4 linked regions of the Arabidopsis thaliana genome follow. The protein of the gene in region 1 purifies or fractionates together with the protein of each later gene. This does not show direct contact. Each region holds a gene or a part of one and is shown in the gene's direction. Other genes may lie near its edges.

The links.
Region 2: the proteins of SSI2 (region 1) and Hop3 fractionate together in Arabidopsis thaliana (co-fractionation; one large-scale study listed by BioGRID). This does not show direct contact.
Region 3: the proteins of SSI2 (region 1) and AT1G30580 fractionate together in Arabidopsis thaliana (co-fractionation; one large-scale study listed by BioGRID). This does not show direct contact.
Region 4: the proteins of SSI2 (region 1) and Hop2 fractionate together in Arabidopsis thaliana (co-fractionation; one large-scale study listed by BioGRID). This does not show direct contact.

The regions. Positions count from the first base shown.
Region 1 is NC_003071.7:18,117,010-18,124,749, forward strand, and holds SSI2 (Plant stearoyl-acyl-carrier-protein desaturase family protein), read left to right. Parts: upstream 1-2,863; 5' UTR 2,864-3,097; coding exon 3,098-3,237; coding exon of another isoform or gene 3,238-3,241; intron 3,242-4,344; coding exon 4,345-4,849; intron 4,850-4,925; coding exon 4,926-5,486; 3' UTR 5,487-5,880; downstream 5,881-7,740. Other genes in the region: AT2G43700 (Concanavalin A-like lectin protein kinase family protein), read left to right, coding at 1-1,490; AT2G43720 (FAM136A-like protein (DUF842)), read left to right, coding at 6,284-6,406, 6,678-6,815, 7,108-7,290.
Region 2 is NC_003075.7:7,336,392-7,344,213, reverse strand, and holds Hop3 (stress-inducible protein), read left to right. Parts: upstream 1-2,852; 5' UTR 2,853-2,974; coding exon 2,975-3,811; intron 3,812-4,268; coding exon 4,269-4,557; intron 4,558-4,646; coding exon 4,647-4,956; intron 4,957-5,033; coding exon 5,034-5,160; coding exon of another isoform or gene 5,161-5,190; exon of another isoform or gene 5,191-5,234; coding exon 5,235-5,348; 3' UTR 5,349-6,196; downstream 6,197-7,822. Other genes in the region: AT4G12410 (SAUR-like auxin-responsive protein family), read left to right, coding at 785-1,258; PME1 (pectin methylesterase inhibitor 1), read right to left, coding at 7,041-7,661. UniProt on the Arabidopsis thaliana protein: Mediates the association of the molecular chaperones HSP70 and HSP90. Mediates nuclear encoded chloroplast preproteins binding to HSP90 prior to chloroplastic sorting. Involved in acclimation to heat.
Region 3 is NC_003070.9:10,830,516-10,838,772, reverse strand, and holds AT1G30580 (GTP binding protein), read left to right. Parts: upstream 1-3,137; 5' UTR 3,138-3,318; coding exon 3,319-3,405; intron 3,406-3,738; coding exon 3,739-3,906; intron 3,907-4,009; coding exon 4,010-4,133; intron 4,134-4,460; coding exon 4,461-4,552; intron 4,553-4,713; coding exon 4,714-4,812; intron 4,813-4,911; coding exon 4,912-5,025; intron 5,026-5,343; coding exon 5,344-5,408; intron 5,409-5,567; coding exon 5,568-5,684; intron 5,685-5,791; coding exon 5,792-5,867; intron 5,868-6,061; coding exon 6,062-6,154; intron 6,155-6,474; coding exon 6,475-6,525; intron 6,526-6,721; coding exon 6,722-6,820; 3' UTR 6,821-7,100; downstream 7,101-8,257. Other genes in the region: AT1G30590 (RNA polymerase I specific transcription initiation factor RRN3 protein), read left to right, coding at 1-223, 316-426, 508-597, 778-903, 1,000-1,068, 1,185-1,291, 1,401-1,484, 1,578-1,665 and 3 more; HERK2 (hercules receptor kinase 2), read right to left, coding at 7,291-8,257. UniProt on the Arabidopsis thaliana protein: Hydrolyzes ATP, and can also hydrolyze GTP with lower efficiency. Has lower affinity for GTP. Exhibits GTPase activity.
Region 4 is NC_003070.9:23,228,598-23,235,520, forward strand, and holds Hop2 (stress-inducible protein), read left to right. Parts: upstream 1-2,324; 5' UTR 2,325-2,428; coding exon 2,429-3,304; intron 3,305-3,402; coding exon 3,403-3,691; intron 3,692-3,783; coding exon 3,784-3,869; intron 3,870-3,971; coding exon 3,972-4,195; intron 4,196-4,292; coding exon 4,293-4,359; intron 4,360-4,461; coding exon 4,462-4,521; intron 4,522-4,669; coding exon 4,670-4,783; 3' UTR 4,784-4,946; downstream 4,947-6,923. Other genes in the region: NG1 (Pentatricopeptide repeat (PPR-like) superfamily protein), read left to right, coding at 1-434; AT1G62730 (Terpenoid synthases superfamily protein), read right to left, coding at 607-1,521; SCO1 (Translation elongation factor EFG/EF2 protein), read right to left, coding at 5,025-5,192, 5,281-5,793, 5,865-6,923. UniProt on the Arabidopsis thaliana protein: Mediates the association of the molecular chaperones HSP70 and HSP90. Mediates nuclear encoded chloroplast preproteins binding to HSP90 prior to chloroplastic sorting.

The DNA.
Region 1 (7,740 bases):
GTTATTATGATCAAGAAGGTCAATTTAAAGATCTTTCTTTGATAAGTGGAAGTCTACTCCGAGTCACGATTTTGTATAGCCAGATGGAAAAACAGCTTAATGTCACCTTATCATCACCAGAGGAGGCTTATTACCCGAACAAGCCTCTTCTTTCATTGAACCAAGATCTATCACCCTATATTTTGGAGAACATGTATGTGGGCTTCTCAGCCTCAACGGGGTCTGTTAGAGCAATGCATTACATGTTGAGTTGGTTTGTACATGGCGGCGTTGATGTTCCAAACCTGGACTTGGGAATACCAACATTTCCTCCATATCCCAAGGAAAAATCTCTGGTTTATCGGATTGTTTTGGTGACCAGCTTGGCATTGGTTCTCTTTGTTGCGCTTGTTGCATCAGCTTTAAGTATCTTTTTCTACAGGAGACATAAAAAGGTTAAAGAGGTTCTAGAGGAATGGGAGATCCAATGTGGGCCTCATAGGTTTGCTTACAAAGAACTCTTTAAAGCCACAAAAGGTTTCAAACAACTTCTAGGCAAAGGAGGGTTTGGTCAGGTCTTTAAGGGTACACTTCCAGGTTCTGATGCAGAGATTGCCGTTAAACGAATTTCACATGATTCAAAACAAGGAATGCAGGAATTCTTGGCTGAGATATCGACAATTGGTCGGCTTAGACACCAGAACCTAGTCAGGCTTCAGGGTTATTGTAGGTACAAGGAGGAACTCTACTTGGTTTATGACTTTATGCCCAATGGAAGTCTTGACAAGTACCTCTACCACAGAGCGAATCAAGAGCAACTCACTTGGAATCAACGTTTCAAGATCATCAAAGACATAGCCTCTGCACTCTGCTATTTGCATCATGAATGGGTACAAGTTGTAATTCATCGAGACATCAAGCCGGCAAATGTCCTGATTGACCACCAAATGAATGCAAGGCTCGGGGATTTTGGGTTGGCTAAGTTGTACGATCAGGGTTATGATCCTCAGACATCTAGAGTTGCTGGGACATTCTGGTACATTGCACCGGAGCTCATAAGAAGCGGAAGAGCAACCACAGGGACAGACGTCTATGCCTTCGGGCTGTTTATGCTAGAAGTCTCTTGCGGTAGGAGGCTGATAGAGCGAAGAACAGCCTCCGACGAGGTCGTCCTAGCTGAATGGACATTAAAGTGCTGGGAAAACGGAGATATTCTCGAGGCAGTCAATGATGGAATCCGTCACGAAGACAATAGAGAACAGCTCGAGCTTGTTTTGAAATTGGGAGTGTTGTGTTCGCACCAGGCTGTAGCAATTAGGCCAGACATGTCTAAGGTGGTCCAGATCTTGGGTGGTGATCTGCAGCTTCCAGATAATCTACTCGATATAGTCAAAGCAGAGAAGGTCAGAATGTGGTCTGAGACATCTGAGAGTGTACTTGGTGTTTTGACATCACAAGGGTCCATTGGTACCTTGACGTTAACGGAACCTTTTACCTCCCGGGGACGCTGAGACGTGATGCTGAGTTCGGTCGTGAAATGATATATGACATGTTTGTTTGTAAATATTTTATGTTTTCGATTGATGACAAAGGAGTCAGAAAGGACACTTGACCATCACGGAAGCGATGACTTCCGTCGGACGGTAAAAAGTGATGGTCGAGGTTTGGTGAGAAATCTAAAAATGTGACGGTGTTTGCTTGATAAATATCTTTATTTTGGTGATTGTATTGAATGTATCGTTTTGATTTCTGTTTATACTTATATCGGCGGTGGAATAATTACACATGACCTGAAAAGTATGCGTTTGTGTTTACTTTTATGTTGTAGTACTTGTTGTGTTTTTCAGCTATGAAAAGTCTACATATTTCTTCTGTGTGCTAACTTATTGGATAAATTGGATATTTTTAAGAGATCTAATGTTTACACAAACGTATGGTGAACACCAATGGGGATGTTTACACACACTTATGATTTATGACTGAAAGAGATGTTAATCGAAGTATATACTCCATTGATTAATGTTAATCACCGAAAGAGATGTTAAACAAGCATTAATGTTTACACTTAAATGTGATGGAACGAAAACAAAGAATAAGTTTAAATTTGTTGTCATGGTCTCAATGAAAAACCGAAAACGTTGTGCTATCAAATTACTCAAAACGTTGAGCTAGCTAAACTTGGCAGAAAAGTATCGAATGATGCTAAAATGCAAAAAACCATTAAACCCAATGTACGGTTTATAGAGTTTTCATATGCCAAGTGGGACATCCACGTGGAGATCCTATGCCACTTGTCCCCTCTCTGTCTCTTTCATGCTTCAAACTTATTTGGCTTTTACGTGGATTCTCACGCCCGAGTACGTCGATTATTACAAAACTCACATAAATTAATATAAACACTTTATATTTTGTTTTGACCTTTTTACCCCTTCTCATTGCTCATCAATTTTCATAGATCTAATACCAAATTATCACACATATAGGAGAGTCATCTAACAATTAGCACAAGTCATGAGTGAAAGAGACTAAGCATGAATCATAATCATCTTTGACATAGGTGCTCAAAAGTAATCAATTTTTTCAACTTTACTATTCAACTCAATAAAAGAATTTTTAATCAACAATTCTTTTCAAGATGTATCCCTTTTTTTTCTTGCAACTTTTTCTCAACTATATTAATATTTAGTATACTGCTACTTAGCTACTCGATGTTTTGATGTATCATTGATCATTATTGTTGACTAATAATTATTTGATACAAATATTTTACCGACATATGTAAGAACAATAGTGTCAAAATTGAAGCATCTCAAGGGTATTTTAGAACAGATACCCAATTTATTTATTTTTATAATTTGTCACCTTGTTTTTCACACACAAATGACAATATGACGTCATTTTCCTTATTAGAATAATTTTTTTAACAAAAAAAAGAATTATTTATTTTCGTCTCTCTTATTGCTTGCTACGCTCAACGCTGTGCATAAGCATTCTCTTTCTGTGGACGAAACTAAACCTGAGAGAAAAAGCCAGAAGAACCAAACTCAGACCGAGAGATAGAGATTGAGGGAGAGCTCTAGCTCTGTAGAAAAGAAGGATTCATTCATCATATCCAGAAATGGCTCTAAAGTTTAACCCTTTGGTGGCATCTCAGCCTTACAAATTCCCTTCCTCGACTCGTCCGCCAACTCCTTCTTTCAGATCTCCCAAGTTCCTCTGCCTCGCTTCTTCTTCTCCGGCTCTCAGCTCCGGCCCCAAGTCAGTCTCTTTCTCTCCATCATCGTCTCTCTTATCTACTTTCGATTCTCTCTGTTTCATCTTTGTTTACTGTGTTCTGGGTTTTGCTTGTTCTTATCGATATTGGATCTACGTTTTCTCGATTTTGTTCAGTGTTATTTGCTTACATTTGCTTAATCTCGAGTGTGATTTCAATAAAAGTACGTTCTTTTAATCTGGGTTTATAAGAATGGGCCATCCTCTGTTCTCAGGTGATTCATTAATGCTCTTTTTCATTGAATCTGATGTTTGTTGATTGTTCCCTATTATTCTCACGTTTCTCTGAGATTGCCCCATCTATCAAATCGTTGCCTTTACCATATTTATTCTGCATCAGATTATGTAGATTGCTCGTTGATTGGTTGTTAGTTAAGATTAACACTAGTTATCTTCTTTATGGTATAATGATCTTTAGATTGGTTAAGACTTAACAGACATTGAGGAAAGCTTCTTAGTCAAAGAGAAAGTTTTGTTTTGTTTTCTCTGGTTTAGTAATTTTTAATGGTGAAATGTTTATCCACTTGTTTCTTACTCATTTGATGAGTTTTCTCTTTTGTATTGACAAGAGATTCTTGAACGTATCAGTTTACGTCTGTTTATCTTTCTTCAAAGACATTACGTTGGATATCACGCTTCGTGGCCTTTCTCTATGCATGCGTACTTCGTGGCTTCTCTCTTTAGTTTGCGTCCAAAATTTTCACACTTTTCTGTAATTTATTATTCATTCTTTCTCTGTTTTGAAGACATTTGGCTCTTTATCTTGTCTTTGTCTGATCAGTAGTCACTACATTTGTTTCTTTCACAATCTTTCTTTTTTGCTTCATATTGAACTGCAAGACCAATCCATGAATGCAAATATAAAATATTGTCTTACGGTTAACCATCTCTAAGTGTTTGCTAGTCATGAATTGTGAAATTGTTTCGCTTCAAACATAGAATTAGTTGATTTGGAAATGTAGACATGAATGCTTATCTAAATACAATAAACTGTGTTCTTGTTTCAGTTGTGTATCAGAGATGAGACCTTGACTGGTAATTTCAATGGAGCATAATTAAATGCTAATGATACTTATTTTCTGGTTAATGCAGGGAGGTTGAGAGTTTGAAGAAACCATTTACGCCACCCAGGGAAGTGCATGTTCAAGTCTTGCACTCCATGCCACCTCAAAAGATCGAGATCTTCAAATCTATGGAAAACTGGGCCGAGGAGAACCTTCTGATTCACCTCAAGGATGTGGAGAAGTCTTGGCAACCCCAGGATTTCTTGCCTGACCCTGCATCAGATGGGTTTGAAGATCAGGTAAGAGAGTTAAGAGAGAGGGCTAGAGAGCTCCCTGATGATTACTTTGTTGTTTTGGTGGGGGACATGATCACAGAAGAAGCACTTCCGACCTATCAAACTATGTTGAACACTTTGGATGGAGTTAGGGATGAAACAGGTGCTAGTCCTACTTCATGGGCTATTTGGACCAGAGCTTGGACTGCAGAAGAAAACCGACATGGCGATCTTCTGAATAAATACCTTTACTTGTCTGGTCGTGTTGACATGAGGCAGATCGAAAAGACCATTCAGTACTTGATTGGATCTGGAATGGTGAGATAGTTTCAGGCAATTATCATGATTTCTTGGTTAATATAACTACCTAATCGCTTTAACTTATCTTTCATAGGATCCGCGGACAGAGAATAACCCCTACCTTGGCTTCATCTATACGTCATTCCAAGAAAGAGCGACATTCATCTCTCACGGAAACACAGCCCGCCAAGCCAAAGAGCACGGGGACATCAAACTAGCCCAAATATGTGGCACAATAGCTGCAGACGAGAAGCGTCATGAAACAGCATACACCAAGATAGTTGAAAAGCTCTTTGAGATTGATCCTGATGGTACTGTCATGGCTTTTGCAGACATGATGAGAAAGAAAATCTCAATGCCTGCTCACTTGATGTATGATGGGCGCAACGACAACCTCTTTGACAACTTCTCTTCCGTGGCTCAGAGGCTCGGTGTTTACACCGCCAAAGACTATGCAGACATTCTTGAGTTTCTGGTTGGTAGGTGGAAAATCCAGGACTTAACCGGGCTTTCAGGTGAAGGAAACAAAGCACAAGACTATTTATGCGGGTTGGCTCCAAGGATCAAGAGATTGGATGAGAGAGCTCAAGCAAGAGCCAAGAAAGGACCCAAGATTCCTTTCAGTTGGATACACGACAGAGAAGTGCAGCTCTAAAAGGACAAAGACAAAAACAAAAACCTATCCTCCCGGTTCCTCATTTCATCTGTCTGCTCTTAAAATTGGTGTAGATTACTATGGTTTTCTGATAATGTTGGTGGGTCTAGTTACAAAGTTGAGATGCAGTGATTTAGTAGCTTTGTTTTTCCCAGTCACTATATGTTTGGTCTTTGGTCCGTTAGCACACTTGTAGTAGTTAAAACAGTTTAAGTATGGTCTGTACTCAGTCTTCCTCTTCTCTGTGGAGTTTTGTTTAAGTTCAGGTTAGTTTTGTTTTGTCTCTCTGTTTTTTCCCCTGTTTCTCGACAAACAACTCATGTGGCTTTTTAGCAATTTTGATGGATGATCATGATGAATAATTGAATATCTTCAATGTCAGTTTACATTTAACTAATTGGTCAATGTTTGACGATCATGCTTAATGCTTATCTCTATAAATTAATGTAAAGTCAATAATAATGAAACCCTTGACAAAAAAAAAGTGAGAAGTTGATAGATTTTGAAAGAAGAAACAGAGACGGCTGTTGAGGTAACTTCATGCTTGAGCCAGACTAAAGGAGATGATAATGTTCGTAAATGGGCCCAATTTAAAAGAGGCTAGGCCCAAATAAGGTAGTGTTTCAGAGATGGGAGGCGGTTGAAGCTACCTATGAGAACTTGGGGAAGGAGTAAAAAAATGTTCTCTTTTTCAGTCTTTTTTTGTCTAATTTTTTTGCAAGTAAAGATTCCAAACTTTTTCGAGTGAATCATTGTGAGAGCAAAGTTGAACTAATAAATCAACTCGCCGGGAAAAAATGGATCAAACGGCGGAGGAGAAGATGGTGAGAGAGAGGATTAGAAAGAAAGTTAACGAAGTCAGTTCTGCGTCGCAGTCTCTTCTTTCTCCAGTACAAGACCACATCAATTTCACCCTTCAAGTTCGTCTCTTTCTCTCTCTCTCTCTCAAACAAAAAAAAAAGTTTTTGAAAATTTTGATGTCTTCTTTCTAAAATTGAAGAAACAAAGTGGATTTTTCACAGCTCCCTAGACTCAGTTTTCTTTCTCCTAGTTGCTAAATTCCTAAAGTTATGTTCTCTGTGTATACTCTTCGAAGAAGCCATTGGATATGTACTTGGACTTAGTTTGCTTACTGCGTAGTTTGAGATTTATATAAGAGTTAGTTATTTTTGTGCTTTTGTGTTGATGCAGAAGGCATATTTCAAATGTGCATACGAGTGCTTTGATAGGACAAGAACACACGCTGAGATTAGTCGATGTGCAGAGAGTTGCAGTGTTCCTATCACAAATGCACAGAACTACTTTGATAATGAGATGTCGGTGTTCCAAGTGAGTCTATTTCTCAACTTTATTTCCAGTTACAATTTGAGATTGATACAGCAAAATTTACAAATGCCCATGAACGTTGGAAAATTGGTGATTGAAGTCTTAAAGTCTTTTTCTTGTTCTATTAGAGGTTGATGGATGATTAGTGATTGGTCTGAAACTTTTGTTTTTCAAATGTGTTATTATGAAGATAGTTTAGTTTGTTGTCTCCTGGATTCTCTATTACATGACAACAGCGCTTGGGTTTGAGTACTAGATATTCAAGATGGTGTTTTGGTTTTACTGATGAATGTAGGAGAGGTTGAATAGATCTCTTGTGGTTTGTCAAGACAAGTTTGAGGTTGCTAAGCAACAGAAGACGAGAAGTGAAGCGGTAAATGATTTGGAGCATTGTGTAAACCAAACTGTTGATGAAGCTGTGAAGACTCTGCCTAATCTCGTCTCAAGAATGAAGAAAGCTTTGTCAATCACAGACTGAGCTCTCCAACGATTATAAAGAGGGACTCTTTTCTGATACTTAGAATTTATGTTTCATTGATCTCATATATAAAGGTGAAAGTTGTGACCCAAGGATTTCTCCCTTGACTTTTTTTTAATAAAAAAACAGAGGATTTCCGCAAGCCGTTTCTGGTCCTCAAACTTTGATACTCGTTGCCGCTTTGATTCTTTATACCAAACAAACTGCTTAGTTTGGCGCTTTGGCTGGTTACAAAGATACCAAAAATAATCGAACCACTAAAAGAAGACACTACTACATGTTAATAGTCACAATAACATCAAATAAAATAAAATTATGCAAAGAACTTGAAACGAAAAAAATTAATAAAATTGAAACATCTTACGTAATTGAAAAGATGGAGTATTATTAAGAGTTGTAACTAAAATAAGACAAAAAAAATGTGTCATTCCTCCATCGATGCGGCTTTAA
Region 2 (7,822 bases), on another chromosome or scaffold:
TTAATAATGGTACACACATATCTTTATAAAAAAATTTCATGTTATTCGATCGATGTGGTAGATTGATGAATTTGGTAACTAAGCTTGCACAATGACAGTATGGCTGGACATAGCTGCGTTGCACAATAATCTGATTAGAAAAAACATTGTTATTTTGGTATTTCACGAATAACATTCGAGGTCTTAAGTGTTGAAGTAGTCCGTTCCCACTGAATATGATCAAAGCTTAGCTAGCTTCTTCATTGCGATAATTTATGGTAACACCCCTGACCAAATTAATTAAATAGCTAATGTTTACACAAGTCTTGTAAATATATCTCTTGTAATATATTTCATTTTAAATATCTTGAGGTTTTTTTTTTTTTTGGCACTTAAGATTTGGAATTTTAAGTCGCATGTTTTGAATAGAAAAAAAAAGTTCCCTAAATTTTGAAAAGATGATAAATGATACGAAAATATAACAAAAAATACAAAAAAAAAGTTGTATTTGGAAAACTATCCATCAAAGTGGACACATTTAAAAAGCACACGCACACATAAGAGTCATAGCTCCTTGAAGGCTATATAAGAGGTAACCTCTTTCCCCATACCCAAACAGTCTTCTTCTTCAACTCTATAACATAAAACACAGAGAGAGATACCAAAAAACAAAAACCAAAATTTTCTCCAAATCTATTTCTTTCGAATCAAACCCATTTCTTGAAACTCGATTTCAAACAAACCCATCTCATTGTTTTCACCAAAGACTTTTTTTTTTTTTGTCGGAATCTGATTAAAACCAAGCATGAAGAGAGTCAGAGGGTTCAAAATTGGACACAGATTTGTCAAAATTTTCAAATGGATACCAAGAAACAGATGCCCGACCCGAATCACAAACCCGGTTACCGGAATCCGGTCATTAGCACGGTGTTTAAGCCGTGGAGCTAAGAGATTGTGCGGTGGAAGCAAGAAGAATCCGGGTCAGAATCAGATCCGGTTGGGTAAGGATCCGAAAAAGTCGAACCGGGTTGTTCCTCGAGGACATTTGGTGGTTCATGTCGGCGAATCAGACGATGACACGCGGCGAGTTGTGGTGCCGGTGATTTACTTTAATCATCCATTGTTTGGAGAATTGTTGGAGCAAGCGGAGCGGGTTCATGGGTTTGATCAACCGGGTCGGATCACTATTCCTTGTCGGGTTTCGGATTTTGAAAAAGTCCAGTTGAGGATCGCTGCATGGGATCATTGCCGCAGGAAAAATTCTTACAAGATTATATAATTTGAATTTATAAAATAGTCAAAAATCAAAAGAGGATTAAAAAAATTTATATACACTTATACAGTACAGAGAAGGATGATTTCCTTTAATTTGTGAATATTAGTTTTTTTTACCATCTATGTTATACGATAAATACCGATTCATAAATACAAGATAATTATTTGTATCAGTTTATTTCATGGATGATAGACCACATTGACATCCTATAATACTATATGGTTTAGATTTATGTGTGTAATTTTATAAGTTAGAACAAAACTGAAATTATGTTCTAACTTATAAAATTACACACATAAAAACTGAAATTAAAAAAAAAAAACAGAAAAAACTGAAATTGGGCTATCAGTATTTTTGAATACTTATATTTCAATATATCAAATACAGTGAGTGATGGTGTATTGCTGTATCTGAAACCTATCATCCACTATAAACCCCAATTGAAGTGAAACAATCAATATTTAGAATTTCCATATAATGTTAATTATGAAATTACTTCTATCTAAATATATTTCAGAAGAATTTTTGAGATACCACTTTTATGATTTTTATTTTTTTTTAATAATACCACTGTTTTTTTTTTTTGTTAATTTTCAATGTAACACAAAATGCAATCATAGAATTTGTTTTATTAACTTTTATAGAGCATATTATAAAAACGTTTATAAAGTTTCTATAATGCATAATATCAAACATTTATAAGATTTTTCACAAAATTTTTAATGTTTTATAGTGCTTAGAAGATTTTTCTTAAGAAATGATATGAAACTAGAATTTTTGAACAACCTTTTTCTGGTCTTTTTGAAAAATGGTATCATAAAGGTGGTAATTTTCAAAATTTCCCAAATTTGAATACAAATTCAAATCATATTGTAGGAAAGTGATCAAATATGTTAAAATTTAGAAGATGAGGTGAGAACAAATGTGCAGAGGAGATGCACTTGCTAAATTTGCATCTTCATGTGATTTGTATTTTGCTTTTTAGATTGTAGTTTACCACTTTGGTTGGTTACAAGTATTTGGAGAAACCATGTACTACTTGTTCTTTGAGTATTAATATATATGATTATATGTGGTATGTTTAGAAAAAAACAAAAAAACCAAATATCAAACCTAAACTTATTAAAAGTAAAGACACATTTGATTAAAACCTAAACCAAAAACGTACAAAACTATTCGCTTATGATGATATTATTTATCATAACCAAAACTTTAATCACCATACATACCTCCGATTTGGTTTTCTCTCCCAAACTGGTCGTCTTCTCACCTCTGGTTTACTACTACTTCGGATTGAAGAATTTTGATCGTCTCGTTGCTAACTCCACGATGTCTTTCTGACGCTTAATCTTCTGACAGAAGACAAAGACATAGCATAAAAAAGTAAGCACAGAACATAAACGGATGTTTATTCTTTTCTAGACGGTATATTTACATAAATAACGAATCACTTATCAAAAAGCTGGAGTAGCTCAGTTGGTTAGAGCGTGTGGCTGTTAACCACAAGGTCAGAGGTTCGACCCCTTTCTCTAGCGTTTCTTTTCCTTTTGTATTTTTAAGATTTAAAAACATTTTTCCACGGCTACAAAAGAACATTCTCGACATACACAAAAAAATTCGAAATTTCGAGAACTCTCTTGTGCCTTCTTCTTCATCTTCCTCTGTTTTTAAAAATGCAATCAAGCAGATTCTCACGATACCTAAACCAAATCCAATTCAATGGCGGAAGAAGCAAAATCCAAAGGAAACGCAGCTTTCTCTTCCGGCGATTACGCCACCGCAATAACCCATTTCACAGAAGCAATCAACCTTTCACCAACCAATCACATCCTCTACTCAAACAGATCCGCTTCTTACGCTTCTCTCCACCGTTACGAAGAAGCTTTATCAGACGCGAAGAAGACTATAGAGCTTAAACCTGATTGGTCTAAAGGATATAGCCGATTAGGTGCTGCGTTTATTGGATTGTCCAAGTTTGATGAAGCGGTTGATTCGTATAAGAAAGGATTAGAGATTGATCCGAGTAATGAGATGCTTAAATCGGGATTAGCTGATGCTTCGAGATCTAGGGTTTCGTCAAAGTCGAATCCTTTTGTTGATGCGTTTCAAGGGAAGGAGATGTGGGAGAAGTTGACGGCGGATCCGGGGACTAGGGTTTATTTGGAGCAGGATGATTTTGTTAAGACGATGAAGGAGATTCAGAGGAACCCTAATAATCTTAATTTGTATATGAAGGATAAGAGAGTTATGAAGGCTTTAGGGGTTTTGTTGAATGTGAAGTTTGGTGGATCTAGTGGTGAAGATACTGAGATGAAGGAGGCTGATGAGAGGAAAGAGCCTGAACCGGAGATGGAACCTATGGAGTTGACGGAGGAGGAGAGGCAGAAGAAGGAGAGAAAGGAGAAGGCTTTGAAGGAGAAAGGGGAAGGAAATGTTGCTTATAAGAAGAAGGATTTTGGGAGAGCTGTTGAACATTATACTAAGGCCATGGAGCTCGATGATGAGGATATTTCGTATTTGACGAATCGTGCTGCTGTTTATCTTGAGATGGGGAAGGTATTAAGTCTTATACTTGGCTTAAAAGTTAAACCTTTAGGTACTTTAAGATTAAGGAGGAGATCTTGGGTTCTTGAAGTAGCTTATCTGTTTAGTATAGCTTGTCACTAGTTAGTACATTTGTGATGACCTTGATGGGTTTTGATAACTTTCATCTGCTTCTTGTTGGAGATTTAAGAGTTTTGAACTTAAGTTTTCACTTGTGCTGAAAGTAGTTAGCTTTAGATGAGGTAGAAATTTAGGGTTTATGGCTTCATGATGGAGTTTATTCACTTGTTCTGTAGAAGTGGTTATCTTTATTATTACTGGAATCAATTAATCTTCAAGTATCCTGAGTGGTTCAATTCCATTGGTCTATGTGTTCTTGCATTAGTCTTGTTTAATTAACAGTTGGTTCATCTGGATCTTACTGTATCTTGTGTGATGTTTTACTTCATTTCTCAAATGAAATTATCAGTACGAGGAGTGCATTGAAGACTGTGACAAGGCTGTTGAAAGAGGCAGAGAACTTCGTTCTGACTTCAAGATGATAGCAAGAGCTCTGACTAGAAAAGGATCTGCTCTAGTGAAAATGGCGAGATGCTCGAAAGACTTTGAGCCTGCGATTGAGACTTTCCAGAAAGCTCTTACAGAGCATCGTAATCCAGATACATTGAAGAAACTGAACGATGCTGAGAAAGTCAAGAAAGAGCTGGAGCAACAGGAGTACTTTGATCCTACGATAGCCGAGGAGGAGCGAGAGAAAGGTATATATACTGATCCTCAGTTACACTTACTATCTTGAAACGTGATTTGATTTTAGGATTAAGCATTTGACACTTCTTCATTGATGCAGGTAATGGATTCTTTAAAGAACAAAAGTATCCAGAGGCAGTGAAGCATTATTCAGAAGCAATCAAAAGAAACCCGAACGACGTGAGGGCATATAGCAACAGAGCTGCTTGTTACACAAAGTTAGGAGCATTACCAGAGGGATTGAAAGATGCTGAAAAATGCATTGAGCTGGACCCAAGTTTCACGAAAGGATACAGTAGAAAAGGAGCTATTCAATTTTTCATGAAGGAATACGATAAAGCTATGGAAACGTATCAAGAAGGGCTAAAACATGATCCTAAGAACCAGGAGTTCCTTGATGGTGTTAGAAGGTTTGCAAATTTTGGCATTCTCTCTTTGTTGTTTAACCTTGCAAAGATCGGTCTAGTGAAAGTGTTGTTGTTTTCAGATGTGTGGAACAGATAAACAAAGCGAGCCGTGGTGATCTGACTCCAGAAGAATTGAAGGAGAGACAAGCAAAGGCAATGCAAGATCCTGAAGTTCAGAACATATTATCGGATCCAGTGATGAGACAGGTAAAAGCAGTGGCAAGCATTGTGTTCTAACTCGTAAGCTGTCTGTGAGACTTGTGTGATGATGTCTATTGTAGGTACTAGTGGACTTTCAAGAGAATCCGAAAGCTGCACAAGAGCATATGAAGAACCCAATGGTAATGAACAAGATTCAGAAGCTGGTTAGTGCCGGAATTGTTCAGGTCCGGTAAATTGGTTATGCTAAACCGGAGTGGTATATTGAATCAAACCGAAGATGTTTCCAAATTTTCACTGCGTTCTTTTGGGCTTTTGTTAAACTGATGAAACTCTGATTTGGTTTGGGTCATGTTTGAGGAGTTGTTGTAGAATGAATCAAGTCTGTGTTCTCCTAGTTTTATATGCTACTTCTTCGAATTTTCTCAAAAGAATCTTCAAACGAAATTTATAATTGCTGTCAAAAAATTTTAAAAAAAACTATAATTCTTTTTTGGTCGAAAATTATAATTTAAAAGTCAAAAGCTGTAAAATCTTTTTTGTTTTCTACATGTCTCTTTTACAGAGGAATAAAAGTCTTTTTAGACGGGCCTCACGTGCATTGCACACGTTATGGTGACTAAGAAATTGTGCAATAATCAGATTGTGTTGAATTTTCTCTTCCACTTTTCTTTAATACAAAATATAGTTTAAAAAAATATATATATAGATTTTTCTCTAGTGGAACGGTTTGTGGAAAGTATTTTAAGATTTAGATCTTAAGATTTTGTTTGCCCAAAAAACAAAAACAAAAAGATCTTAAGATTTTAAAATCTATGAAAGTTTAGGAGTTTTAATTTTAGAATTTAAGTTTCAGAATCTAAGATATGTAATTTTCCTTTGCTAACTGAAAAAACATAAGTAATAATTTCTGAATTTTGATTTAGAACATAAAACTATTTCCCATAACTTTTTATTTTGTTAATTAACGATTATTTTCAAAATTATGACATGTTCCTAATAAATACTATTCGGTTAATCGGTTCACTACACAAATCACAAATTCGTAAGGGGAGGTGTACCGATGGTTAACCAAATTACAGAGTACTTTTTTTTTTTCTTGCAATAGAATTTGCATAGATTTTTCATAAACATTCCATGCAAAAGGGTTAATAGATGTTAAATAGTAATTTAAGAGGATATAATTCATATATACTTGCATGTTTTGTTCATGTGGCAAACAGCCTAAAAATATTTGTATTTCCATAATTGTACCTAATTTGCTTCCATGATCACTCTTCACCGTTACTTCTTGGACTTGTCTTTCCCAAAAGCTAACAATCCGAAGGTTTATTTAAATTAAATCAAAAGAGCACTTAGTGTTTAACTTTAGACTAGTGATAAGATTTTCACACCTGCTCCCAAACTACCAAAGTAAATGGAGCTTATGTGGAAAGAATGTCATCATAAGATTATTCAAATAGTAAAGTGACTAGCTCTTGGTCTAATGGTTTCCGTGAAAAGGAACAAAAACACTAAAGGGTATGCAGAAAGTAGGAGATTTGTCCAACTTAGAGGTTATAATTTGTATGCTTAGAAAAAGTGTATATGTGTGAAGTAAGAAACTCATCTGATTTTAGAAAACAGCATTGGTTATTAGAGTGGTTAAAAATGGTAAACATTATTGTGGCCATCCATTGCTTATATCCGAGACCGTAACTATATTGAAATGTAGGAGCTCATCCAATTTTTGTGGCCAATTCTTTTTCTCCATAAACCCGTTAAAATCATCGTTATCTCTAGTCGAAACCATGACAAAAGCATAAACATCCCAAGCCTACACATAAATACAAAGTATCATAAAGAAACAAATCACCCACTAGGACAAAAAAGAAAATACATGACAAAACCTTATTAAGGACCGAATTTTAATTTATTAGCCGAATATTCTATGACTTATGCCTAGCCGCGAACCGGTTTACAAGAGCCAATGCATTACTAGTAACTCGAGCCACATGAACCACTCTTCTTCTAATCGCTGATTTTACCACACCGTCCATAACCTTTCCATCGAACCCATCCAGACACGTTGTCTCATCCGTTAAGGCAGCACTAACCCAAGTCTCAACGTTACTTAGTCTCCACAAGAACTCGTCTCGATCACGACCAGATCGACCAACTTGCTTCAACTCCCTCATCGACTGAGCCAACATCTCTAAACCGTCTCCAAGATTTTCAACACAATCCTTCACGGCTAAGTACTCTCTCCTTTTGATTCTCCTAGCTTTAGTCAGCTTCCCTACATAGATTGTCGTGGACTGAACCCGGACTAGAGTAACGGCTAAAGCGGTTTGAGCTAACTGGTTTTCGTTGCGGCGGATTTTGTCTGCAAAAGCGGCAAGGCATTTGACGCAGAGAGTTTGGTAACGCGTGACGCGGCATGATGAGACAATGAAGTTGATGCTGCTGCTAGGGTTTGGTGATGATGAAGGTTTGGCTATGGTGGATTGGCAGAGTAGTGGAAGAAAAAGTAGAAGGCAATAACAAAGATGGGTTAGCTTTGGTTCCATTGGTGTGTGTGTGGGGTTCTTTGTTCTATTTGTGGTGCGTTTCAATTAAAAGGCATATGTGTGTATACACGAGTGAGGTGTTATTTATAGGAGAGCTACATTTATTGTATTTTTTTTTGTTATAGATATTGTTTACAAAAAGACAATCTGTATTAAAAAAT
Region 3 (8,257 bases), on another chromosome or scaffold:
TGGAAAATATCTGGATCCTTGTTTGAATATGCTCGTAAGAAATTTCAGTCAACCTACTTTTAAGCATAAAGTTTCACAAACCCAATTAGTCAAAAAGATGCAGGAAGTTCATCCACGGGTGCATGCAGCCCTTCACAAGATTTCTTATTTAATTCCTCTTGCTCCCTGGAATTTAGTGTCTATACTTGCGCAGAACATGCGTAAAATTGACAAAAAGGACCCTGTAAGTTTTTTTTTTTTTGGTTATAGTTTAGACTATGTAACAGTGAGGTCATATTGGTGGTAAAGAATTGAAACTATCTTTTTGTCTTGAAGTCTATAGTGACATATGTGGATAACCTGTTGAGGTTGGAGAATAGCTCAATCGGAGAAGTTGTTGGCAGCGTGATTCTTATGATGGTAATGGAGAGGATGCTAGATTTAGATGTAAGTAGATGTTAATTTTTTATAAAAATGTAGCCACTAAGTAAAGTGGCAAGTGAATGATATGCTTGAGCATCTTTGTAGTTGGTAAGTGGATGTGATGACTCTAATGGAGGCATGTTTGATATGGAACTTGAAGATGCAGTTGAAAGCACTATGAATGAAGGAGACGAGGTAGGGTTAGTGTAATTTTTTGCTATCTTTGCAAAATCCCGAAACTTACTCTGTTTAGTAATGATCGAAAGTTACTTGATGACAAGATACCATTTTCTCTTGTTGTGAAATGTTAGACATGACCTCTGGTTTCCTGGAGAAGAATGTGTCATCATTCATAAATTTGATCTCTTTTTGCAGTTTCCAGTGGGGGCTCTAAAACAAAATACTTCAGGTGGAAATGTAGTCTCTGAACTGTTGGACAAATTGATGGTCCTATTTTTTCATCATCTAGAATCCTGTCAAAACTCTGATCGTTTGGATGAGGTATGGCACCAAATGGTACTTGTTCAACATATTTTTCCTTTCCTTTGTGGTAGATTCATTGATCTTTTGGTGTTTCTGTTTTTCATTTTGGCATAGGTATTTGAAATCCTCTTTAAGTCGTTCGAGAACTATATTCTGAACACATACAAAACAAAATTTTCACAGGTAGGCATCAAAGCTATCACCTTACATACTACAAAGTTTTCATTGTAGGCTTCTAGCATTAGTTCATTATCGGCATGTGATGTCTTGGCTTAGACTCACTCTACTTTCATCTGCAGTTTCTGATGTTCTATGCATGCTCACTAGATCCTGAAAATTGTGGTGTGAGATTTGCCAGTAAGCTGTTGGACATATATCTCTCCAGCAACACATGTCGACTTACTAGGCGAGTTTAATCTTGTCCTTCTTGGTAAAGATTTCTCTGCATGATATGAAGCTAATATTGTTCTAATCACCACTTGTGTATTCTTTTGTTTTCTCTTTATACTTAACAGGATGAGTGCAGTGGCTTATCTAGCTAGCTATTTGTCTCGTGGAAAGTTTTTGCCTGCTTCTTTTGTGGCTAGCATGTTGAAAAGGTACGTATTGCTAAAAAATGGAAAATGTAATTGTTTGATCTGATTTAAGTCTCGCTTTGTTGTAACATAGTTTCTCTTTTGCTGAAATCCTAGATTGGTGGACGAGTGTGCGGAATATTGCGGAACATGCAATGATGATGTGAAGCCAGAAGCACATCAAGTGTTCTATTCTGGATGTCAGGTATAGTCCAAGTTTAAGACCATCTTATGGCTTTTGATTCCTTAAGAACTCTTCTGTGAAATCATTGACGTCTCTAGTTATCAATCATTGTTAATGTTCACACCCTTACCAGAAGCTTATTGGCGTTTGGGATCATATGCTATTATGTCATGTATCGCTTAAAGTTGTTACTTTTCTATGACTGTAGGCAATCTTGTATGTGCTATGCTTCCGAATGAGATCCATAGTGGAGATTCCTCGCTTTCAATCGCAGTTTAGATCATTGGAGTCAATTTTATCTCACAAACTAAACCCACTACTGGTGGGTGACTTACACTAATCATTTTCTTCTCATAGCTCAACTGTTATTTTAAGTAGTCTTCACTCCAAGTATCAAATGCATTATGCTTGCACCATTCATTTTGTGTGAACAGGTGTGTCTTCCATCTGTAGTTTCCGAGTTCCTTAAACAAGCCAAAGCTGGTGGTCTGTTCATTGTCTCAGAATCCTTCATTTTCGATGACCTACACGAGTCTGAGCTCTCTCGTGCTTTTGGTGGCTTTGAAAGGCTTGACACATTCTTCCCGTTTGACCCGTGCTTGTTGAAAATGTCTAGCAGGTTTGCTATCTTTACTCTTGATTATTTTTTCTCTTCCAAAGTAAGGACAAATCAATGTGAGAATCTTACACAAGGTTCTTGACTCACTGGATGAATTTACCCGACCTGGGCATATTTGATACAAATTCTACTGCATACATCTTAATTACAGTCTTGAAATGACATTGAAAATTATTTTAATATGATAAAACAAGTGATGAATCAAAGTATTTGCATTGGATAGGCTTGAACTCTCTTTCTCACACGTGTTTTCTTGTCAATTCTTGAAGCTACATCTCCCCGAACTTCAACTTCTGGTCAATGGTGAAAACGACTTATGGAGAAGATGGTGACGAAGAGCTTTGTGATGAGGTCATAGTGAATGGAGATGCAGACAGTGCGGAGGAACCTGACGATGACGTTGAACTTGATAGTGAGATGAACACGATGTCTACAACTCCGAAACACTCTTTCATGCGAGAAACAGAGAGGCTCTTGAAGATGCCTTCAAGAATCAGACCATCCACTAGTCCTCCTGAATCCTTCTTAATCTAATAGTCATAGAGAGAGGGAATGCAATTTTGCAATGTAGGTTTCTTATTACAATCTCTTAGCTAGTGCGTAAACTCTAAAAAAAAGAAGTTGACATGAGTTTTGTGCGAGTCTGTGGTATTATCTGATCGCATGTGGTTTTGTAGCAAAATTTTGAAGAACATCTATGAAGTAAAATTTAGTCAGTTGGTTTATGATTACCTAATTTGAGTTTCGGTTTAATTTGGTTAAGTTGAAATGCTGAATGATTGATTTCTCGGTTTAGTGTTCAATATTGGGTTTACTTTGTCCACAAAATTGGTTAAAAATAGCTCTTTGTATTTTGGTAAATGTCCCGCAAATGGTTAAAAGTAAACCGGGAATTGACCCTCCGATTTAAACCGGTCCGTAAACCAGCTGAGCAATCTCTCTTTAACCTCGGCGTCGGCGTCTTGTAGCTTCTTCTGCTAGGCTTTGTTAATCAGCAAAAACCCTAGAATATCTTAGAGCTTCGCTTCACTTTCAAGCTCGAGACTTTGAGAAAGATGCCTCCGAAAGCCAAAGCTAAAGATGCAGGTCCCGTAGAGAGGCCTATTCTTGGCCGTTTCTCTTCTCACCTCAAGATCGGAATTGTAATTTTTCTCTTCATCTCTCTTTTAGAATCCAAGTTGATTAATTTCGAATGGTGAATGGTAGATTTGCTCATCGCAATACTTTCCTCGATAAAAGTTTTTTTTTTTTTTCTTCTTCTGAGTTTTGCCGGGAGAGATCTATTAACTCATCAGTGATGCATGATGATATTGTTTGTTTCGTTGTGTTTGTCACTGTACTCTTTTAGATGTTTAATCCATATTTAAGAAACTGCTTCTTTGATACAGTGATTAAGGTTGATTGTTCATGGTTGATATGATGATATGGAGAAGTATTGATGTTATTCACTATGGGAATTGTTTGTGGCATCGCAGGTTGGGTTACCAAATGTTGGAAAATCTACTCTTTTCAACACTCTTACAAAGCTTTCAATTCCAGCTGAGAATTTCCCCTTTTGTACCATTGAGCCTAATGAGGCACGTGTGAATATCCCCGATGAGAGGTTCGATTGGCTTTGCCAAACTTACAAGCCTAAGAGTGAGGTAAGTTTGTAACTTTATTTCATGACTTGCTGTTAAGGAAGAGATTACTACTATCTGAATTACTTTATGAATGGGCTGACTTCTGTCTGTTTTGATGCCTCAGATTCCAGCTTTCTTGGAAATTCATGACATTGCTGGGCTTGTTAGAGGAGCTCATGAAGGACAGGGTCTTGGAAACAACTTCTTGTCCCATATTCGTGCAGTTGATGGAATTTTCCATGTTTTACGTATGGTTTTTCCCTCTCGCTTTTTCTCCTAGTGCCAGCTTTGTTTTAGTGTGATGCGTGATTTGATGAATAATTTAGACTGTACTGCTACTTGTGCTGTCTTGAATTTCTACTTGAGCAGGCTTTTCAATGAGAGACAGGTTAAAAACCTTTATATATTTTTCTTCCCATTTGATACCTATAGGGCCATTGCGATAGTTAGTTTATGTTTTCCTCTCCAAGCATATCTGTTCTTGAACAACGGGGATGTTTCTTTAATAGTTGCTGATAGTAAGATATCTTGCCAGTTATATAGTGGTTAGTGACTTTTCGATTGAACATATGCAGGTGCTTTTGAAGATGCTGATATTATCCATGTCGACGATATCGTGGATCCTGTTAGAGATTTGGAGACCATTACTGAAGAGTTGCGGCTAAAGGTGAATCAAATCTCTAAACAGATATTTGACTGCTATATCTCCAAACTCGTGAAATCCTTTCTGTGTATATTAATACAGTAGTCTGTTTTTTGTATTAGTTGGATCTTCATTTCATCCATTGTTGTTTTGGTTTCAAACTGAATTCTTTGGTGCAACTTTAGGATATTGAATTTGTTGGAAAGAAGATTGATGATGTCGAGAAGAGCATGAAGAGGAGCAATGACAAGCAGCTGAAAATAGAACTTGAGCTCTTGCAAAAGGTATGCTATAATTTGACAACCATGCAGTCTTGTTCTGCAAATGTTATTGCTCATTAATTATTAATTGGCCGAAAAAATGACTGTACCTCTCTGGTTTAGGTAAAAGCTTGGCTAGAAGATGGTAAGGATGTCCGTTTTGGGGACTGGAAAACAGCTGATATCGAGATTTTGAACACTTTCCAATTGCTTTCTGCAAAGCCCGTTGTTTACTTGGTGAGTAGTCTTGAATGTTCATCTCTTTCTGTTACCATTGTTTCTATCAAGATAAATGCATTTGCTTCTTTCATATCTATAGTCGACAATTTTGTTCCCTCAATTTTTTTCGGGTCAGTTTGCAAAATGTAGGTCATACTGTCTATTTTTGTGACACTATTTGCCCCCAAATTTAACCATAGTGTGTTCCTTAGCTATTTCTGATCTCTATGCTTTCATGTTTGTTTCAACTATGTGTTTCATCTCAGTGTAAGAACTATTAAGGCATCTTGGTTGGACTTTTTGTGATCACTGGTTACTCTGAAATTTAAATTACAGATTAACCTGAATGAGAGAGACTATCAGAGGAAGAAAAACAAGTTCTTGCCAAAGATTCATGCCTGGTACTAATATATATCCTTTCACAAACTATGTTGAATAATAAGTAAAACATTTTGCCCCTTGGTTGTTGCAAAAGTTTCTAATATGGCTACGTGCTTACACATTTACTTACCTTATTATACTTCTCCTAAACTAAAAATATCTGTTTCATCATTATGTAGGGTTCAAGAACACGGTGGTGATACTATGATTCCTTTCAGTGGTGTGTTTGAAAGGAGTCTCGCTGATATGGCCCCAGATGAAGCAGCAAAGTATTGTGAGGAGAACAAACTGCAAAGGTTAGGAATAAAAGAACAGCACCTTGCGAATGAATAGTTGCTCCTGAAGATGATTTTTCTTTATGAATCTGTTAAATTGAATCTTATGGCCATTGCTGCTTTGACAGTGCTCTTCCGAGGATCATCAAAACTGGATTTTCAGCAATTAACCTCATATACTTCTTTACAGCAGGGCCTGATGAGGTATTAACAGTCCCACTTTACTTGGCTTCACTACACGCTTTAGTCTCTAGTTCTCTGTGAAATTCTTCTAAGCATAATTGTTCTGTAATGAGCTATTTGGTAGTGCATGATCAGTGTTATGTGTCAAGTAGTGCATTGTTACTGGAATTTGATGGTTTATAAAATACATCCATCAATGATACTTTGATTTGCAGGTGAAGTGCTGGCAAATAAGACGGCAGTCAAAGGCTCCTCAAGCTGCAGGGGCCATTCATACTGATTTTGAGAGAGGATTTATTTGTGCTGAGGTACCATTTTCTCATTTCTCTTGAATCTTGGTCAATTCACTAGTTTATTCCTACCTAAAATTTACATGCGTAAAGCCTTTCCCCTCCAGATTTTGATGATTTGTTCTGTTATAGAGTTTATATAATCTTTCTTATGTTTTCACTGACAAAAACAAATGCTTGCTTGCATATTCTTATATTCATCTTGGTGTTGATTTCCTAGTATCGATGCAGGCCTGTAGATATCAAAGCAGAATCCTAATGCAAACCATATCTAATCAAATATTTTTCTGTTTTGAAATTCAATGTGATTTATTCCAATGTTGTTGTTGATGTCACAGGTCATGAAATTCGAGGATCTCAAGGAACTTGGCAATGAACCTGCAGTCAAGGTATTTGTCTATAACTTCTTTTCCTTCTACAATCTCTTAAGGTCTCGGTGGAGTAAGTAGCCTCTAAAAACAGACATGAAAATGTTAAGGAAGCTCTCCACTGTGCAAGATATCCTCGTTGAAGAGGCATGATTATATTTATAATGTTCATGGCGATGACACTTGGTCTAATTTATAATCCCTTCAACTAATGCAGGCCGCAGGAAAATACAGACAGGAGGGTAAAACATATGTTGTTCAGGATGGAGATATCATTTTCTTCAAGTTCAATGTTTCCGGTGGTGGGAAGAAATGAGATCCATCCGTCTGTCCACCTATCCGCGGTGTCCTCTCTGGATCTTGAAGCTCTATCCATTTCCGAGAAAGGAACCAAGCTGTATTTTCCGTTTTTGAGTGGCTTTACCAAACAAGTATTTGTAACTCTTTACATTTTGCAGTTAGCTAAGACATGTCTTTGCCTTTAGACAGAGCATTAAGCCTGCTGTATCGTTTAGAACTCTTTCAATAAGTTTTTCTCTACTATTTGGAAAGAACCTTGAGTAATTGTGCGTGAGAATGAGTTGAAGAAACCCAGCAAACAACTTCTGGTGCACTTATTAGCGAAGGAAACAAATGGAAAGAATGATTAAACGAATACCTTAAGGAAATTATATTTGCAGTGTATATTACAAGCTCTATTACAAAAGAGCTTCTGGATAGATCACAATCAATTATAACAAAAGAACAAAAGAATTATTTTGGGACTGGCCAATCCAATTGCTTCCTCTAAGCCGAATTGTGAAGAGCAGATCCTGTTTGGCTCTGCTCAGTTTCTGAGGAATCTTGATTGGAACAAGCTGGAAGAGTAAAGCTCTCTGGTGCTTCTTCTACCGCTTGGCTGCTCGAAAACGAGTTTTCTCCATTCTGTTTGCGAAGCCAAGCTTCATGAATCTGCAAAACATACTCCAAGCTCCATAACACTTCTCCCATCATTGGCCTGTTCTTCCCTTCATCCGCTAAGCACTTCTCTGCTATCTCCCCATACTTCTCCAACGATTCAGGACTGTAGTTTCCCCTCAGATTTGAGTCGATGATGGACTCGAGGTTTCTCTGTTTTTGCCAGCTTAAAGCCCATTCCGCAAGGTTGATCTGGTCTTTAGGCAAAGTTGGGTTTATAACAGCTCGAGCACAAACAGCTTCGAACAACACAACACCAAAAGAGTAAACATCTGACTTCTCTGTTAACTGTTGCCTTCTAAAGTATTCAGGATCAAGATAACCAAAACTTCCTTTCACAGCTGTACTCACATGAGTATGGTCCATGGACGGTCCAGCTTTCGACAGCCCAAAATCAGACATCTTTGCCACAAAGTTCTCGTCTAATAGTATGTTTGTTGTTTTGACATCTCTGTGAATGATTCCTCTCTCTGACCCTGTGTGAAGGTAATGCAATCCTCTCGCAGAGCCTATACAAGCTTCAAGCCGTTGCTTCCATGATAATGGCGGAAGGTTGCTTCCAAAGAGATGACTCCTGAGAGTTCCATTTGCCATGTATTCATAAACCAAGATCATCTCATTGTGCTCATCGCAGAACCCGATCAAAGACACAAGATGCCTATGCCTAAGTCTTGAGAGCATCACGATCTCGGTTTCGAATTCAGCAAGCCCTTGCTGAGAATGTGGGGTGGCTCGTTTTATAGCTATGAGTGTTCCATCTTCAAGCTCTCCTCTGTAAACCTTACCAAACCCTCCA
Region 4 (6,923 bases), on another chromosome or scaffold:
AAAGAGGATTAGTTGGTGACACTATCACATACAACACTATAATCCAGGGCTATTTTCAAGCGGGTAGACCAGATGCGGCGCAAGAAATTTTCAGTCGGATGGATTCTCGTCCCAATATTAGGACGTACAGCATTTTGTTGTATGGGCTTTGTATGAACTGGAGGGTAGAGAAAGCATTGGTGTTATTCGAGAATATGCAAAAGAGTGAAATAGAACTTGATATTACTACTTATAATATCGTCATTCACGGGATGTGCAAGATTGGTAATGTTGAAGATGCGTGGGACTTGTTTCGTAGCCTTTCTTGCAAAGGACTTAAGCCTGATGTTGTGTCCTACACTACGATGATCTCAGGCTTTTGTAGGAAACGCCAATGGGATAAATCAGATTTGTTGTACAGAAAAATGCAAGAAGATGGGCTTCTTCCATTATAACATATGAAAACTGTATATTATTTGTAAGTAAAAAACAAATTCTTTATTTTGTATTCATCACCATTTGTAATTTTGTATTATTACAAAAGAAATACAAGTAAGCTGGAGTTTAATGTAAAGTCTTTGAAACCAGAAATAAAAGAGGCAAGAAAAGGGAGATAAAGACAAGTTTTCAAAACATTGCTCTCCATGAATACCACTTGAGTTTAAACTGAAACAAGAGTGGAGGAACACCAAGAACTCCTCTTTGAATCCTGGGATCAAACACATCGAATTGTACTTTATTTAACGAATCCAGAAGAACTTGTACCGGCACAGAATGAAGCAGTACCGGTTTAGCTTCTGCAGGAACCTTTCCCGCCAGTTCACGGGCTTTCAGGAGATGTGCATTGGCAACAGATGCAATCTCAAACACGACATTGCTTAGTCCTTCTCTTGAATCGTTATCCAGAAGAATTTCTAATCGTCCACCTTGTTTCACGAGCAACCCGTGCTTCTCAGCGAGATCTGCAGGGATGTAACTCTGGTGACGGTTTCTGGTACAGTGGTACGGTAATGATTTAAGCAGCAAGACAAGACCACTGGCTTTACCAATGTGTGAAGCTGCATGATCAGCTGTTGTTGAACTAATTCCGCCTGCTTGGAGTGTATTGTACAGAAGAGTGGAAACTGTGTCTTCTGCGTATTTCTCTAGCTCCGCAATGCTCTCTGGTATATCGTCTACTTCTCTTTGGGCATCTCGGATTCTAGCGTCAACTGAGCGTTTTAGCCAAGGTTTACTGATGTTATGTTCTGATATTGCCCAAGACAGAGCTTGTGCAGCTGGATGGTTTATGGGCTTTTTGGTGTAGAGTTTGTCAATTGCTTCTTGCCACCAAAGTAACCGCATCAAGCCGATTTTGGGATCAGATGCAACATCCATGGCTCTTGCGGTTTCTACATTAAAAGCCCGGAGAGCAAATGCTGCTTTACGCATCTCAGTTGGGAGTTCAAGGAGACAGAGGTAGTGATGATAGTCATAGTTTCGTACTTGCTGCACACAATAGGACAATGCTGAACGCAAACTACTCGAGCCTCCTCCATTCATCAGTATAACTCCAACTGTGTTTCTTTCTCTTATCCTACAACCATATAAACCACAAACAAGATCAGTTCATAAAAACAATGAAAAACTCTGGTTTCTTCTATCACTCCATTATAAAACAGTAACACAGAATTCATCTACAAACACAAGAGAAAATCCTCCAATTATCACCACTTCAAATAAATATACTGAATAATTCTCACTAATCCAGAGGTTTTGTGAACCGTTAAACTCATTCAGGAATTAACACAAACACTTGGTGGACAAAGCACTGGAATTGGTATTTAACAAACAAAATGAGAACTTTTCAACATTGCTTAACACACAATCATAAACCCAATAATCACACATGGATAACAAATGAGATCACTAAAGTTCACAGAAACTTTCCAATTAGTAATGTAAAATCGCTGGAAACCATTAATGTCGTCCAACAATAACGAAACGAGCAAAAAACACCTTACCCTAACTCGAAAAACTCTGAGATTCAAGTTTCCTATGTTTAGGAACTGAATCTACCATCCAAAATCCAAATAAAATCAACCTTTCGACCCGAAAATGGAAATCGAACTCTGAACAATCGTGCCGGAGAAGAAGCGTTGGGTCAATGTAGAGAAATACGTCGTCGATTAATATAAAACCACTAATGTTATTACACGACGTCGGTTCTGCTACAGTGTAACAGGAAGTCGGTTTTGTTATAAAATGACACGACGACGTTTTTATGTAAAGAACTGTTTAATGAATAAACGTGATTAGGATAGTATTAACCCGAAACCAAACACTCTTATATCGAACAAATATATATACACTCGTATTTATTCGCCTAAAGCCAAAAACCCATTAGCCCCTCAAGGTATCTTCCAGAAGCAACGAGAAGACCTGCAAGAGAAAATTTTCAGATTCAACTATGGCGGACGAAGCAAAAGCTAAAGGAAACGCAGCTTTCTCCTCCGGTGACTTCAATTCCGCCGTTAATCACTTCACCGACGCAATCAACCTAACACCAACCAATCACGTTCTCTTCTCAAACCGTTCCGCTGCTCACGCATCGCTTAATCACTACGACGAAGCTCTCTCAGACGCGAAGAAGACTGTTGAACTTAAACCAGATTGGGGAAAAGGTTATAGCCGTCTCGGTGCTGCTCACTTAGGTCTAAATCAGTTCGATGAAGCCGTGGAGGCGTATTCGAAAGGGCTTGAGATTGATCCAAGTAACGAAGGTTTGAAATCAGGTTTAGCTGATGCGAAAGCTTCTGCGTCTAGGTCACGCGCTTCCGCGCCCAATCCGTTTGGTGATGCTTTTCAGGGACCGGAGATGTGGTCGAAATTGACGGCGGATCCTTCTACTAGAGGGTTATTGAAACAGCCTGATTTTGTTAATATGATGAAGGAGATTCAGAGGAACCCTAGTAATCTTAATCTTTATTTGCAAGATCAGAGAGTTATGCAAGCTCTTGGAGTTTTGTTGAATATTCAAATCAGGACTCAACAGGCTGGTGATGATATGGAGATTGGTGAGGAAGAGATGGCTGTGCCTTCTAGGAAGGAGCCTGAGGTAGAGAAGAAACGAAAACCTGAGCCTGAGCCTGAGCCTGAGCCGGAGTTTGGAGAAGAGAAGCAGAAGAAGCTTAAAGCTCAGAAGGAGAAAGAGTTGGGGAATGCTGCGTATAAGAAGAAGGACTTCGAAACTGCAATCCAGCATTACTCTACAGCTATGGAGATTGATGATGAAGATATCTCTTATATCACTAATCGTGCTGCTGTTCATCTAGAGATGGGAAAGGTATAGTTTTCAAAGTGTTCTTTTTTTTTTGTGTGCTAGTCTAAAGTGATTTGCTTTGGTTAGGTTATGAGTCTTAATGTCTATGTGTTTTGTTTTAGTATGATGAGTGTATCAAGGATTGTGATAAGGCTGTTGAAAGGGGTAGAGAGCTTAGGTCTGATTACAAGATGGTGGCTAAAGCTTTGACTAGGAAAGGAACTGCTTTAGGGAAGATGGCTAAAGTCTCGAAAGACTATGAACCTGTGATTCAGACTTACCAGAAAGCTCTTACGGAGCATCGTAACCCTGAAACATTGAAGAGACTGAATGAGGCAGAGAGAGCAAAGAAAGAGTTGGAGCAGCAAGAGTACTATGATCCTAATATCGGTGATGAGGAGCGTGAGAAAGGTATATACTTTGCAATTGTATGTGCTGTTTGTGCGAGGAAGAATCTCTTAGAATTCAGTAAATGTAGCTGAACTAACATCTTTGTAACACAGGTAATGACTTTTTTAAGGAGCAAAAGTATCCTGATGCTGTGAGACATTACACTGAAGCGATCAAGAGGAATCCAAAAGACCCGAGAGTAAGGCGGATTCATCATCATATATCCTTCAATGTTGTGCTCAAAAAGAGTTCCGTATTTGACTGTTTTAATAACTTGTTTACTTTTTTGCTCGTCACATAGGCATATAGCAACCGGGCTGCATGTTACACTAAACTGGGGGCAATGCCCGAAGGATTAAAAGATGCAGAGAAATGTATCGAGCTCGATCCAACATTCTTAAAGGGATACAGTAGAAAAGGTGCAGTCCAGTTCTTCATGAAGGAGTATGACAATGCAATGGAAACGTACCAGAAGGGTCTCGAACATGATCCTAATAACCAGGAACTTCTTGATGGTGTTAAAAGGTATTTATATAAATAGGTGTTAAGTCACGGGGAGATTATTCGCTTCTGTTATCTAGTAATGTCAATATGCTTATGTAACATGTTTTAAACCATGCAGATGTGTACAACAGATAAACAAGGCAAACCGTGGCGACCTTACTCCTGAGGAATTGAAAGAAAGACAGGTTAGATTCTATTACTGCTTTGAAACTGCTTTGTTACGGGTTTAAGAGAAACCTGTGATCTTAAACTAAAACTTTTGGGATTTGCTTTCGTCCTTATTGCAGGCTAAGGGAATGCAAGACCCAGAAATTCAGAACATTCTCACAGATCCTGTAATGAGACAGGTAAAGAACACACTTCTATAGATGATGTTAGAATTCACAAATCTCTCTATGTTTAGATCAAACATCTCGGAGCAATCCTGGAAACTGAAATTGAGCTATCTCCATGTTGATATGTCTCACCAAAATCTAACACTTGTTCTTTGGACAGGTACTGTCTGATCTCCAGGAGAATCCAGCAGCAGCACAAAAGCACATGCAGAACCCAATGATCATGAACAAAATCCAAAAGCTTATCAGCTCAGGAATCGTCCAGATGAAATAAACGAAGCCAAGACATTGATTTCGATTTTGCTGAGTCATTACTCTTTTATAACTCCAAACACTAAGATCGAATTCTTCTCATTTTTCAGACTTTTCTGATATATCAATTTTTCTTTCTTTCTCATATCCATGCGTTTTAAGACAATAACAACCTTGTCTTCACAAATTTGATTAGCTTACATGTCTATATAGACCAAACAAAATCACAATAAGTTTTTATGTCTAGGCAAAACAAAATCTGTTTAAGCAGCAACTTCTTGATCCTTGGATGAAAGTTGGTTCTGAATATGTTGAGGAACAACGTCGAACTTAGCCAGTTGCATTGTGTAAGAAGCTCGACCTTTTGTCATCCCTCTCAATGTACTCACGTACTGAAACATCTCTGCCAATGGAACCAGAGAGTCGACCACCTAACAATAATAAGAACAACAATGTCAAAATCAGATTTCATCATCTAACAATTTAGGGGTTTTTTCGATCATTTTGAATAAAACATACCTTGAGACCACCGGGTTTGTCTCCGAAGCTGTTAATTTGACCTCTTCGTGAGTTAAGATCACCAATGACATCACCAAGATGTTCTTCTGGTGTAACAACTTCAACTCTCATGATAGGTTCAAGCATTCTCGGACCCGCTTTCCTCATCCCTTCACGGAAAGCTCCTCTTGCAGCAAGCTGGAAAGCTAGCACGCTTGAGTCTACGTCATGGTAAGATCCGTCAACTAGACAAGCACGGACATCAACAACCGGGAAACCAGCAAGCACACCGGTGCTCATACACTCCTCAAGTCCTTTCATGACACCAGGAATATACTCTCTTGGCACAGCTCCTCCTTTGATCTCACTCTTGAATTCGTATCCTGACCCTGCTTCCAATGGCTCAAACCGGACTGTAATATCAGCAAACTGACCTTGTCCACCTGATTGCTTCTTGTGTGTGTATTTCACTTCAGCTATTTTGGAGATACTCTCACGGTAGTTGACTTGCGGTGCACCAACGTTAGCCTCCACCTGAAAGATGAAAAGGAATTAGAAGCTTGGAAGCTTGAAGTAGAGAATTAGATTTATAGGTTATGTTTTACCTTGAACTCTCTTTTAAGTCTGTCAACGATAATCTCGAGATGAAGTTCTCCCATTCCTTCAATGACGGTTTGGTTCATCTCTTCATCACGAGAAAAATGGAAAGACGGGTCTTCTTGAGCGAGCTTGATCAACCCTGTCGCCATTTTGTCGATGTCTGCTTTTGTTTTTGGCTCAATCGCTACCTTGATGACGGGATCAGGGAAGTCCATTCGTTCAAGAACAACGGGGTTTTCTGGATCACTCAAGGTTTCACCAGTGATTGTATCTTTGAGACCCGCAAGAGCGATAATGTCACCTGTCAAAGCCACTTTAACATCTTCTCTGCTGTTTGCGTGCATTTCCAAGAGTCTTCCGATTCTCTCCTTCTTTCCTTTGTTAGCATTCAACACGTAAGAACCAGCTGAGATTTTCCCTGAGTAAACCCTCACAAATGTAAGAGAACCCACAAAAGGATCACTCATGATCTTGAATGCTAGCCCAGCAAATGGCTCGTCATCATCTGGTTTCCGTATAATGGTAATTTCCGGGTTCTCAGGATCTGTTCCATTCATCGGCGGGACTTCAACGGGCGAAGGCAGATAATCGACCACAGCGTCGAGCAATGGCTGCACTCCTTTGTTCTTAAAGGCTGAACCACATAGAATTGGCACAAACTTGCCCGTGATGGTTCCTTTTCTAACCAATCTCTTTACCGTGGCCTCGTCAGGCTCAACTCCTTCTAAATAGTTCTCCATGACCTCATCATCCAAATCAACAATCAATTCCATCATCGCCGCCCGATACTCTTGAGCCAAATCTTCAAGATCTTCTGGAATATCCTCGTAACTGAACTTTGCACCAAGCTCTTCTCCTGACCAAACTATAGCTTTCATCCTCACAAGATCAACAACACCTTTAAAGACATCTTCAGCACCAATTGGTATCTGAAGCACCAGCGGCTTAGCACCCAAATTGGTCACAATCATGTCCCTAGTCCTGAAAAAGTTAGCTCCAAGCCTGTCCATCTTGTTAACAAAGCAAATCCTAGGCACACCATATTTATCAGCTTGTCTCCACAC